Schizosaccharomyces pombe: one gene and its partner. Each later gene encodes a partner of the first gene's protein in a complex. Each region holds a gene or a part of one and is shown on either strand. Other genes may lie near its edges.

Region 1 (8,790 bases):
CAACTAATTGGGTATGTACCAACGCTCTACCCACGTCAAGGAACAGTGTAGGGCTTTTTAAATCCGTACATTCTTCTCGAACAACAATCAAGGGAGCTTGCAGGTCAATTGTCATATCGGAAGTCTTGTGCATTTCTAGGGCATAATCCAAACTAGCACGAGTTTGTCTAGCTAGGGTCATAACTTTTGCAGCTGCAGAATATCCCCATTCAGAAACGTGCTCGATTTTTGTTCTTGGAGGAACAAAAAAAGCTAGCAGACTTTCAATACAAACTCGATTGTAAATAATAACCAAAGTTCGCAAATGTACGATTAGAGTAGAACTCGCTTTATACACCGGTTTGGTGTCTAACAATAAAAAAAACAAATGTGTTCTGTAGGCTTCAGGGATTTTTTGCAAACTTTCACTTTCTTCAACAGAAGGCTTTGCAAAAATTACACGAGCAGGCTCAAGCTCGGGGTTCGTTATGCCATCAAACATATCCAAATCCTTAAGAGACACTTTCAATTTCAGTGATTGAGGCCTTATAAAACATTCTGTTGCAAAACTCTCAAACCTTTGCTTAATTAAAGGTATTACTCGTCCATTAATGTGAGATTGTATGACAAAACTTCCTTTAGCGATAGAGACTTCAACATTAGCCATACACATATCCGGATCTAAATTTACGGTATCAGGATATAATTGTCCGCTCCATTCTATTGCAGAAAAAAATTCTTTCTGTTCTTGATCAGTCAAGTCAGCGGCTGTTTTATCAGTACTTGCTAATGTATCTTCATCCTGGGACTGCGGCTTTCGTATATACCCAGAAAACCAATCGTACAATCCATGAGCTGCCGAAGTTTTTGGTTTTAAATAAATAGAATTCCTTTCCTCAATCAGAGATGTATGCACACGTGAACGGTACTTAATTAGATCGTAAGTAGAATTTCGTTTCTCTATCTTTTTTTGCAAATCAATTTCTTCCTTTGATATTTGCTCATTCAAATACCTCTTACGAATAATATGCATGTAAGCTATTCTGTCGTCCCTTCTCCTTTTAAAGTATTTCCAAGTCCAGTGATATCTGCTCTCATGAACAGAATCTTTAACAACTAAAATGGCATACTTAAACCACTCCAATGGTTTCTCTTTAGGAGTCGATTTAGGCCTATATTGAAGATAATATTGTTGCTTCATTACAACACGAAAGTAGTCAATAACACCAAGTAAACTGTAATACATATGATCACTTAGCGTAATTGATATTTCTTCAACAGATAATTTTCCCCTTAATTGCATTATCTGGTCTGTCGGATGTCGAAATAAGACAACATGGGCGGTTGCCCGTAGCGGCTTTAAAATGTAATTATAAGCAGGTGACTTTTCTGCACTAGGAATCAGGTTCTTTAAATAAGAGAATATGTCTTCTGTAGTAGTGCATTTAGAAATTTCACACTTACTTATCCAGTATATTGAGAAATAATCAACAGTAATAATTTTATGAATGCAAGAGGAAGGAATTGGATCGGTTGAAAGCAAATATTCGGTAAAACTAGCATCTGTAGAGGTTACTCTTAACGAATAAAGCGTCAATCCAAGAGAATAAGGTTTTTCAAGATCACTCAAATTATCTTCAAACCGCAAGTGAATTCTTTCGATGTATATTTGAATGTTATCAGTAAGTTTGGCAATAAGATACTCAATAAAAGATTGTTTTCTACTTATATTTGGATTTGATGAAGACTCTTCTAAAGTTTCTCGAAAATTTTTCCGTAAGATTTCAAAACTATCCAGCTGTTCCTGCTTTAAAGCTTGTTGAGATTGCTCCAACTCATCGCGTGTTAAAGAGTTTTTCGCTTGGGGATGAATTGACAAATATATGTCTTCAATATTGATCGTTAAAGATTTGTTCCGAAGATTCGACCATGGAATTTCCAGCGTAAACGTGCCAATTAAACCACTAGTGATTTCAATGGGAATTCCGAGTTTATCTAAGGCCTATAAAACAATTGTCAGTGAAACTGCAATCAATCGTTCATTTTTAGTTACCTCAGGTTTTATTCGTAAATTATGCAAACTAACATGGCCACCCCAAACGCCGATGTTTAGTTGTTTAGTATCCAAGTTGTCAACATACGAACCTAAAATTTTGTTCAAGAGGCCTAATTATTTTATTAATATCAATGTCTTTCAAAAAAAGGTATAATTCATACCGGCAACTAGGCCTTCTAACATGTTTGTTGGCTCTTTGACACTGAAATTAGGTAAAAGGCAGTTGGCATCCGACTTGGTGAAAGTTAGCAATGCAATTGCGAATAGAGGAATGTTTTGTTGAAAAAGAAAATCTTTTTATTCCATTTATACATTTAACAAAATTATTCAATATAAAAAGAAAACGATTATGAGAAGAGGAAACTTCATTTCCGTATAACGCACCTTTTTATCATCAAACGGATTGAGTCTAAGTGAAAGGAGTATTACTTTACTTATTTGAACAAACTAAATCTTTTTTTTTTATTAAATCAGTTAAATTAAAATCCTTCAAATGTACATAGGACTTGTTTACGGCGCTAAGTGCCACACCATTGAATGCGTCAACAAGTCAGCTTTATCGAACGATAAGTAGGATACTTTGCTTAACTAGTTTTGATTGCGAAGCACATGATTATTATCAAATTTAAACATACTTAATTGTTCATAAGCAAATTTATTATAAGGCAAAATGAGTAAGACGGATAGCTGTTACAAACTTAAAGAATCGCTGTAAAATTAATTCATTAGTTAAGTCAGAAACAAATACTGAATTAAAAATATTAACCGAATATGTAAATTCTAAAGAAAATGAAACAAACGAAGAGCGAATGTGTTATATTATCGCTTAGAAAAAAAAAAAAAAAAAAAGAAAATACATTAGAATAGATAACGAAAGGCAAGAGTTTTAACTAGGCTCTGAAAAAAAAAAAACACTCTTGACACCGTACCAAAAAGGAAATTGTGTGTCAAAATTGAAGTAAAACGTGAAGGAAATTAGGAATTATCGCGGGGAATGAGGATGCTTGAAATTAGTCTTGATTTTCACTGAGGCATCCCATTTCTAAAAGGTCGTTGCGGATGTCATCAAAAGAAGCTGTTTCGATAATAGGTGCTGTCGGAAACCCAGCAAAACTATTAAGCTCACACAAAACTGCAGCTTCATATTCAATTCGTTGCTTCTGTAACAAGGCACTTTGGCGATATGACATGGTTTTTTGAGTAATATATGTGGGATCGTGAACAGATTTTTGTTTGTTTAAAAGCTGAAAGCACTTCGTTGCAATTTTGGTTAGAAGCGCTTGTCGTATTCTTCTTTTATCAAACAGTAACTGATACTTCCTCTGTTTCGTTACATAGTCCATTACGTTTTTTATATTCCCAAGTTGTTTCATGAGGTTTTCAGTAGCTAAACGCACACGATCATCTCGCCGCTCTGTTATAAGATCAATGCAGGCATTAAAACGCTCATGGGTTTCGTTTTGTATCATTTCCTCATGCTCGTTCAGCTTTAACAGTTTCTTCCCATATAAACGGTTTCGTAAAAAAGTAAACTCCGTTTCTATATTTAGCAAAGCATCAAACGCTTCTTTCCGTTTTATAGCCTTTTCATCGTCAGCTTCATGAGCCTGTTCAGATGCGGAACGACGATCTGCAATCTCACGATCGGATTCCTCTTGGCTGGTCTCAAGAGCTACCCTTTTTATTTTGCTCTCACTGTTAGTAGACCATTTTCGAGAAACTGTTGCACGTTTACGCTTTCGACTTCCAACGCCACTTCGAGGACCACCTTTTCTGGGTGCTTCTAAAGTTCCACCTCTTTGTGGTATCTGGTGGTCAGAATCTTCGGTTCTTTCAATATTCGACTCTTCGTCTTCTTCCTCCTCATGCTCAGAAGACTCCTCAAGTTTCGAGTTGTGGTTAGTCTCTATGAGTCCATTGTTGTCATTGGTAGCTTTTTCTTCAGACTCAAAGTCAGATTCCTTCAATGAAGGACTAACAATGGTTATATTTGCTGTGTTTTCCATCTGAGGTTCCACAGAGTTGTTTACCAGTATGGTTCTGCCAATTGCACTTGAGTCACCTAAGTCCTCAGTGACTGATACCGAACCAACTAAAGATGTTTCTTTCTCTTCATCTTCATTTAAGACTACAGTTTCTGCCTCAGATACATTATCATGATCTGTTACCTCTAATTTAGGAAGTGACGCTAACTGATGAGTTGTGAGGGACGTGGAACTGTTCAGTTTGTTCACTGGCGAGTTTTTTTCAATGATTTCAGAATTTTGAGAAGGCAATTGAGGTGCGATAATATCCTCATTAGCATTGGTCTCTGGATTAGATAGAGCCGAATCAACAACCTGCTCACTTTCAGCGATCGAATTATTTATTCGTTTCTCTGAATCTTTATTTTTAGGAGAGCTTTTTAAGTTGTTCATTGGTAAATCAAAAGGCTCCTTAGGGAGTATTTCATGGGGAATTGATTCCGACTGCAAATTTTCGGTCATCCTGAATTAATTCTTCAACTTCGTTCAAAATACCCTCTCGTAATTTACAAATGTCAGAATCTAAAAAACAGTATCGTTGATTTTCGTGTGTTTTCATTCAATATGTATGTTTTCGAATGAATTGGTAGTGTTGGGGAGAGGATGACATTTGATAGCTGGGCATCAGTAATAATATTCATACTCAACTTTTACACATCCTGTAGGGACATCTCAAAATTTTGAGCCAAGAACTTAATAATTTGTTCTAAATTAGCACTTCCAATTTATACTTTTATCAAGAATGGGTTAGGTGAAATATTCTCAGTCAACTGTTACTCATCAATGAAACTTGGCGAATGAACCATCGTCGATCAAAGGCTTTTTATTAAATCAATCAAAGAGTCTCTATAGATAAACTCTATGCTAGTCTCTGAGTTAACGGCAATTGAAGTAATGATGGTAAAGCTTTTTAATTCAGTACAAACAATTCCATTTTAATTTCAATTTATACTTTATTTTATCAACTGCTAGCGATTTTACAATTATCTCTCTTTGGCAGCAGAATACTACCATGAACTGATTATTTAACTTATTTGAATATTACCGATTATAGGTGTATAAGGAAAAAAAATGTGATTCCTATAATCAGTCATTTTTTATATTTTAATAATCTTCCCTTCAATTAGAACTTTGAAATTTTGATAAATTACATTTTATTGGTAATAATGAATAAAAAAATGTTTCTTCACGTACTAGATGATCATATCCAGTTTATCATACTGTAAGTTCAATTCTATAGAATCCAAATAGGAACTGAGCATTAATTAGTCAATATTTTATTTATAAAATGAAAGAATTGATTATTATTACAGTCTTCATTTTGGCTAACAATTATTATTTTTCTTTCTCCCAGTCACAAGTAGACAGCGTCATTCGACGTTGACACCAATAGACACTAGTGACACGTAAATTTGAGCAATATTTTTGAACTGGTGCATTCTTTATTTTCAAGATATTAAAGGTTGACAGGGTTTCCTAAATTCTTTGAAACACCTCTTTTAGTAGCTGCTATACACATTTATTGAACAATTCCTATTTTCTTTATCAGGTTTGCCAGTGTTTTCAATCGAAAATACCCATTGTAATTAGTTTATTTATTTTTTTGATTCTTGATAAGGAAATGCTCTTCTGAAAGTCAATAATTGGTGAACATGATTAGTTTTTCTCACTGGAATTCTCACATACGTTCGGGACTTAGTCTAAGCATGATTCCTTCTGCAAACTCTCGTTTTGCTTTCATTATTCAAAGAAATTATATTCCTGTCGTTAACTCGCAGAACACAAGATGGAAAAGGTTATGCGGGACACAGTCAGTTTGGTCACCATACAAAAAAAAGCACGTACTGGTTAATCGATTGAAGCATATATCTTTATTCCCCAAACCTATATTTGCAAGAAAGTTTACAACCCGACAAAAAAGTGAAGACCAGAAGCAATGGAGGATACTAAGGATTACATTTCTTGTCCTCCCTTTTACGGTCGGAGGATTATGGATTTTATACAGAGTCAAAAATCGAAAGAATAATATTTTCTCCTTTGACGAACTTGAATTAGAAGAGAGAAGCAATCGACCTCGTTCTATTTTTGGAAAAATAAAACAATTTTTTAATATTCTCCTCAGGTCATTTAATTTATTTATTATTTTCTCTCCAATTATTATTACCTTACCGTTTATCGCTCTTATTTCTTTCCTGCATCTTCGATCTTTGTCGTCTTTAACCGTATCCATTTGGCTTCGTTTCCTCGTTACTCAATTAGAAAGAGCAGGAGCAACGTTTATCAAGGTACGTTTTGAATTTACGCTTATCATGTTACTAACATTATTTTTTTATTTTGCAGTTGGGACAATGGGCTGCTTCACGGACAGATTTGTTTCCTCCTGCTTTCTGTAAAACACTGTCCAAATTACATTCACATGTAACGCCCCACAGCCTTGCCTATACTCAATCAGTCATCTGCAAGACTTATAAAGTGGAATCTATCGAGGAAATTTTTGTTAATTTTAACCCAATACCTATAGGTGTTGGAGCAATTGCTCAAGTCTATACGGCTACCATCAAGAAAGCAGCTACGCAGCAAGATAATTCCTACTTTACAAGTATGCTACAATCTATAGGGTTTCGACAGAAAAATATCTCTGATGCGCCAGTGACTCAAGATGTAGCCATTAAAGTTTTGCACCCGAATGTTGAAAAATACATTTCTTTAGACTTACAAATCTTAGGTTTCTTCGCAAAATTAATTAATTTGGTACCTTCAATGAAGTGGCTTTCTCTGCCCGACGAAGTTAAGGTATTTGGGGCAATGTTAAACCAGCAATTGAATTTACATTATGAGGCGCTTCATCTCAACCAGTTCCGTCTTAACTTTAGAGGAAATAGATATGTTGAATTTCCAGCTCCCTATGATGATTACACGACTAATCAAATCCTACTAGAAGACTATATGCCGGGTATCCCATTAAGCGCGTTCCTCAAACATAAGTCAGGACCATTTAACAAGTTGTTAGCTAACACAGGAAATAATGCATTATTTCAAATGCTTATTGTTGACAACTTTACACATGCTGATCTTCATCCGGGTAATGTCCTTGTTAAATTTTACAAAGGAATCCCTAAAACAATCTTTAATCAAGATAATGAGATTAATGACTCAATTTATAAAATTCTAAGTACATGTTCGACGGAGGAATGGGATTCTGCTATGGAAGAATTAAACATCTTGGGCTATCGACCGACTTTAGTATTTTTGGATGCTGGATTAGTAACGAAACTTAGTACGCAGGATCAGAAAAATTTTTTGGATCTGTTTCAAGCCGTACTTACTTTCCATGGCTATGAGGCTGGACTGTTGATGGTTGAAAGGAGCAGGCAGACAGAACGCGTTATAAACAAAGACATATTTGCTCTTAAAATGGAACATTTGTTGAATGAAATTCAAAAGAGCACGCTTTCACTGAAATCACTTCAAATAGGAACTATATTACAAGAAGTAATGACTATGGCGAGAGAGCATCATGTTCGAATTGAAGCAAATTTCGCAAATACTGTGCTATCTATCCTTTTAGTTGAAGGCGCTGGACGCCAACTATATCCAGAAATGGATCTATTAAGTAATGCTACACCATATCTTCGTTCTGCTTCATCGAAATCCAATGTCTCACTCACAAACCCAATGGTTCAATTATGGATAGCTTTAGAAGCTAGACAATTTTTGCTTTTAAGCACCTCTAAAGAAACGGTAGAAAAGTGGGTTAAGTCCGATATGATCGCACCCAATATATAAAAAAATTACGGTTTATTTTATAAATGATGGAAAATTGTTCATGAAAAATATAGTCGCAGACATGGAAAATAAATTTTATAAACTCGTGTTTTAAAGAAGTTATTAAAGTTCAAAGTTCAACAAGTAAAATTAAACAAAGAACCAATGGAAAGAAAATGTATCACAAACTAGAAAGCATTACTTAAATGAAGAATTGATAGAGGTTACTAATGCAAATTAGAGCCCATTAAAAGATAATATGTACTCAATGGCTCAGATACATCCTCCCTTTTTGTCTTCGATCTCGTAAAACACGACGACCGTTAACAGAACGAATTCGAGATAAAAATCCGTGTTTTCTTTTACGCTTTCTATTTGAGGGTTGATACTCGTTTCCATACGTTTTCCAACGCACTTGCTGCATTTGACCGAAGATGTTCATAGTCGGTAAAGAACTGTATAAAGTAGCGGTATTAAAAGGGTTTCTTGTCGGAAACCCTCTCATAGTTCCTCCTCCAGCTAATATTGAAATATTCCTGGCTCCCTTCATGGCAGGATGCAACAAATTTCGAAATTGTTGCATAAACATCATAAAGCAATAGGAATGAAAGCAGGTGACTGGATTTCAAGAGAAAAAATTTCAAAAAATAATATAAAAATTATATATGAACGTAAATGTGCAAAATGAAGAGATTTGAGATGTGATGGAGTAGCTGGTTATTAGAAAGGTTGAAGTGAATCAGTGTAGCACCGTTTGACATTCGAAGTGTTAAATTTCAAATATTTGTGTTACAATAAATTAAAATCTTTGCTAAAATCCAATAACTACGTTTTAATAGTTTCATTCAATTCACTGGAATGTCGGTAATATAATAATAATACTATTATTATTAATAAATAGTTCATTAACCATTCTTTATACGCCCTTAAAGAAAGCAACCTGAACCCCTAAAATTTGATATCGCT
Region 2 (3,987 bases), on another chromosome or scaffold:
TGCGCCAATGACTGATTATTGGGGCCCATTGATTGTAGGAACAGCTTTGGCTATTTCTCTTATTGTCAACATGTCATTTGCACTTAAGGATGCTGTTTATCAAAATCTCATTGAACCTGATCGTTTGCTTGTTAAATTGTTTACTTGAGAAGTTTCGATATCATTCAACATGGGATTTTTCCAACTTTTATTACACGTTGGATTTACTATTTAAATGCAATAAATTTTTAGAAAGCTAGAAGATAACATTTCAGTAAATTCTTGATTTAGATGCAATGTGAAGTTGAAAATTGCAATAAGATTGAAAACTTCATTTAGAGCAGGGCTCTTGGGTTATTATATTGGTTAATTGGTTTGGGGATATATGTTATCGGTTTTTACTAAAATTTGCACGGGTATTGCAAGTTTTTACGTGTCGATTTACTTTTTTTGCAAGGATTAAGAAAAGCTGGATTTGACCATATATTCATTACATTACAACACTGGGGTATATTAATACTGGGATATTAACGTCGGACATCCATTATAATTTCTATGGTTTAATTAATTTAATAGCAAAGAATAAATAATCAATTATTAATTATCCGCTAAGCATTGGATCTAATTGAGTAGAGTAAAATAACTAAAAACCCCTAAAATCCGTCTGATTAGGGAACTGATGGTTATCGGTTATTAGGTATAAAAATAACAATATCTACTGTAAATAGGAGAAACGAACGTTTTTAAAAGAGAGTTATTTCACATCTGTATTAATGAATTTTTTAATACAAATGCTGACTACATGATGCTTTTCATCTTTGGGAGGATAAAAAAACAAAAAGTGAACGAAGGAAGAAAAGAGGGACTTGAGGTATATACTACTGGTTATTGGCCAGATAAAACGATGGACACCGACTTCAAGACGAAATATCCAAAAAAAAAAAGAAAGGTTTTACCGAGATGCAAATGATTGTAAACAAAAAATTCAAAACACCTAGAAAAAAATAAATAATCCAACGAAAATGAAATCCGTGGTTTTTCGAAATTTTTAAATTTGATTATTTCCCTAACCCGCCAAAAGAGAAAAAGAGAGAAAAAATCTATTTTTTGAAAGGCCAGCAGGATTATGAACGATTCGCGAATTAGTCGTCAAAGAAACCTTCATCGTGAAAAGCTTTCCAAAGACGACTAGCTTTGTTCACATCGACACGACTAGCACGTTGAGCATCTGTTTTCCTAAAGCTTAGGCCTTGAGTACGGCGATTGTGCCACTCAGCAAAGATTCTACGCTTATTGTCAAGATAAACGAGACAAGGCAATCGAAGTGTTGCAGCCAACTGTAGCTCAGCAGGATGTAAAAGGTGTCTATTCTCATCATTGGAAAGATCAAGGGGAGGGCCCTTCCATTCGCTACGAAGGGGGCGAGGATGAGAACGTTTATCCAAAACAGACATATCAGGAGAATAATCAGGCAATAGCTCATATGGTGTATTGGCGACATCAATGGCCTGGGTGTTGGAGGAAAACTCCCTACTGGACTGCTTGAAACGCGTATTATGTTGAGGCATTCCAGGATGAACATCTCCTTTTGAATGCGGAGTTGAATGTCCCGAGTCCGGCGTATCAGGAGAACCTCTTTTACGGGTATTAGAAGCGTGCACATCCAGAAACGAGCTGGGTTGCCTTCTTGGACGTTTGGCAGCTGGAGTCGAAAACCTGTATGCTGGAGAATGACGCTGAAGCCATTGCCTTTCTCGGCGAAGCCAAATTTTAGGTGAATCTCGGTACAGATCGTAAACCTTGGAATGCAGTTGCGCAACAGGTGTTGCTGTCGGCTTTGGTTCCACAATAGAATCTTTTGGAGATTCAGGTATTGTAGAACACTTAGGTACATCAACAGTACTTGCAACTTTGTCATTTGGAATGGGAGAAGGCGGCGGAGATATTAGGTACTGATATGCCTTAATGGCTGCCGCACATGTGTCCTTCTCCACATTTCTAGGGATCGAATAAACAAGCGTTTGACTCGATTTCATCTTACCTTTTTCCTTGATAAAGTCGAGCAAGCTGTCGATAACCTTTTCAATTAAATCAAGTAGACTCTGAAATTACTCCAAATTGTTGTTTTTATGTACAATTCTTTTATGCAAAAGTCAAAAGAGCGACCGACTTTAGATGAAATTTACAGCCAACAGCAATTCCAAGTTTCACCTTATGCCAAACGATTGTTGGTGTTAGTAAAATCCCAAGGATGGATGGAACACATGTCGAAACCGGTAGGTAGGGTTAGGTTGTCAAAAAAACATGTTACTTGAATGGTAAATACAAAATGGAAAATAAATGCCATTTTGAAGAAAAAAATTATTTGCCATATTAATCAAGTGGGTTTCCCAAGTTTTTCTTTGCTCACAAGGGTTTCTGTTTCCAGTATTATGCGAAAAATCAATTCCAAAAAGGAAATACATCCCATCAAATATAATTAAGCCAAGCGAAATACTGATGGATAGGGGATTAAAAGTACCACATTAGATGTATGGGTATGAACTTTCTGTAGTGTTGGTTGATTTCTATTCTTGCTCATTTCCCAATGGAGTTCATATCGGTTCTTAAAGAGTTAGAGCTCGGCTAACTATGTTTATCAACAAAATAGGGAGTTTTGATGCAGCAACATTGGATTATTAGACTGCTTCTAATGAAACAATTCCTCCTTTGGTTTCCAGTGTAATGTCGCAATCCAAATCAAGGTTAAATATACTCATTACTATATTCTTAATATTTACAGCTTTGCCTTTCCAGCTGCTAGTTCCTAATGCACTCATATACGACATAATTGAAAATGCCAATTGTTTGATTTTATAAATGAAGAGAAATACATTTCTGTGTCCATTAGAGTAATTTCTCAATTGAAATATATCACTATTTTACTTGTTTATTTATTCATTCTTTATCGTTCAGATGTTCATTAATTAAAAAGCTAACTTTTTTATTGATGATCATTGTTTACAGTATGAGAAAAAAAAGTAAATTTGTAATAAATACTTTCGCAATATATCTTACAATAAGAGAAATGTACAAATAAATGATTTATAAATAAATTATACACATGTCTTTTTTACTCTTCTTTATAGGAAGCAGTTTCAGAGTACTTAAGAAACCTACTCACTTATTCTCTTCCATATACAGTACTTGTATATTTTCACTAGTTCACACATTTACTTGTCAGCAGTAAATTAATCAATTCACTCGTTTTTTTGTGCTGTTAAAATTTTGTGAACTATTAATATATATTTTATCTAATGATTTACAAAGTCTCTACCTTTAGCTTCCTATTTCTTTGTTGAATAAAACATATATCTGGCATGAGGCGACAGTTGTCGTTTCATGAATCTACAAAGAGATCATTAAAAAAGAAGAAAATAAGAAAGATTGAAAAACCTTCTCTAGTTTCAAAAACTTCACGCGACAAAAATGCTTCGATAACCGATATTCATGAAGAAGATATTGAAGCCTTTTCTGATGAAGAAAACAAAATTGTTCATCTCAATAATTTAAAAGAAGATCGATTTCAACGTAAGAAAATTTAAAAAGGTTCAAAAATTAACGGTGCGCATAGTTTGGTTTGAAAAATACATTCCTCAAAAAGCGGCTGATCTTGCCGTGCATAAAAGCAAAATAAGTGCAATTAAGCAATGGATGTTAACGGATTCTTTAGAAAGTGTATGTTAAATCTCCCCTAATTCTCTCAAAAATATTTCTTGGCTAACAAAATCATAGAGGTTACTTTTGATCTGTGGTCCTTCTGGTTGTGGAAAGAGTACCGCAGTTCAGGTCTTGGCTAAAGAATTAGGTTATAGTCTCATAGAATGGCTAAACCCTATGAACCTAAAAGAGCCTTCAAACCAAGAATCAGATACACTTTCGCTCACGGAAAAGTTTAGTAGATTTATGTCTTTATGCGAAACTTATCCAGAGTTAGAGCTTATGGATTCAAATAATATTCAAAAGCGT

Evidence for each region.
Region 2: dep1 (region 1) and laf1 share a complex: the UniProt entries of both Schizosaccharomyces pombe proteins name them as parts of the RPD3C(L) complex.

The regions. Positions count from the first base shown.
Region 1 is NC_003423.3:3,796,486-3,805,275, forward strand, and holds dep1 (Rpd3L histone deacetylase complex subunit, Sds3-like family protein Dep1), read right to left. Parts: upstream 4,665-8,790; 5' UTR 4,522-4,664; coding exon 3,046-4,521; 3' UTR 2,700-3,045; downstream 1-2,699. Other genes in the region: vps1301 (lipid transfer protein), read right to left, coding at 1-1,981, 2,033-2,145, 2,197-2,218; cqd1 (ABC1 kinase family protein ), read left to right, coding at 5,712-6,344, 6,400-7,845; mrx14 (mitochondrial 54S ribosomal protein bL34m), read right to left, coding at 8,090-8,416. UniProt on the Schizosaccharomyces pombe protein: Component of the RPD3C(L) histone deacetylase complex (HDAC) responsible for the deacetylation of lysine residues on the N-terminal part of the core histones (H2A, H2B, H3 and H4).
Region 2 is NC_003424.3:5,250,020-5,254,006, forward strand, and holds laf1 (clr6 L-associated factor 1 Laf1), read right to left. Parts: upstream 2,216-3,987; 5' UTR 2,016-2,215; coding exon 1,122-2,015; 3' UTR 501-1,121; downstream 1-500. Other genes in the region: vtc2 (polyphosphate synthetase), read left to right, coding at 1-148; RFC-like checkpoint protein Rad17, read left to right, coding at 3,339-3,549, 3,593-3,696, 3,754-3,987. UniProt on the Schizosaccharomyces pombe protein: Component of the RPD3C(L) histone deacetylase complex (HDAC) responsible for the deacetylation of lysine residues on the N-terminal part of the core histones (H2A, H2B, H3 and H4).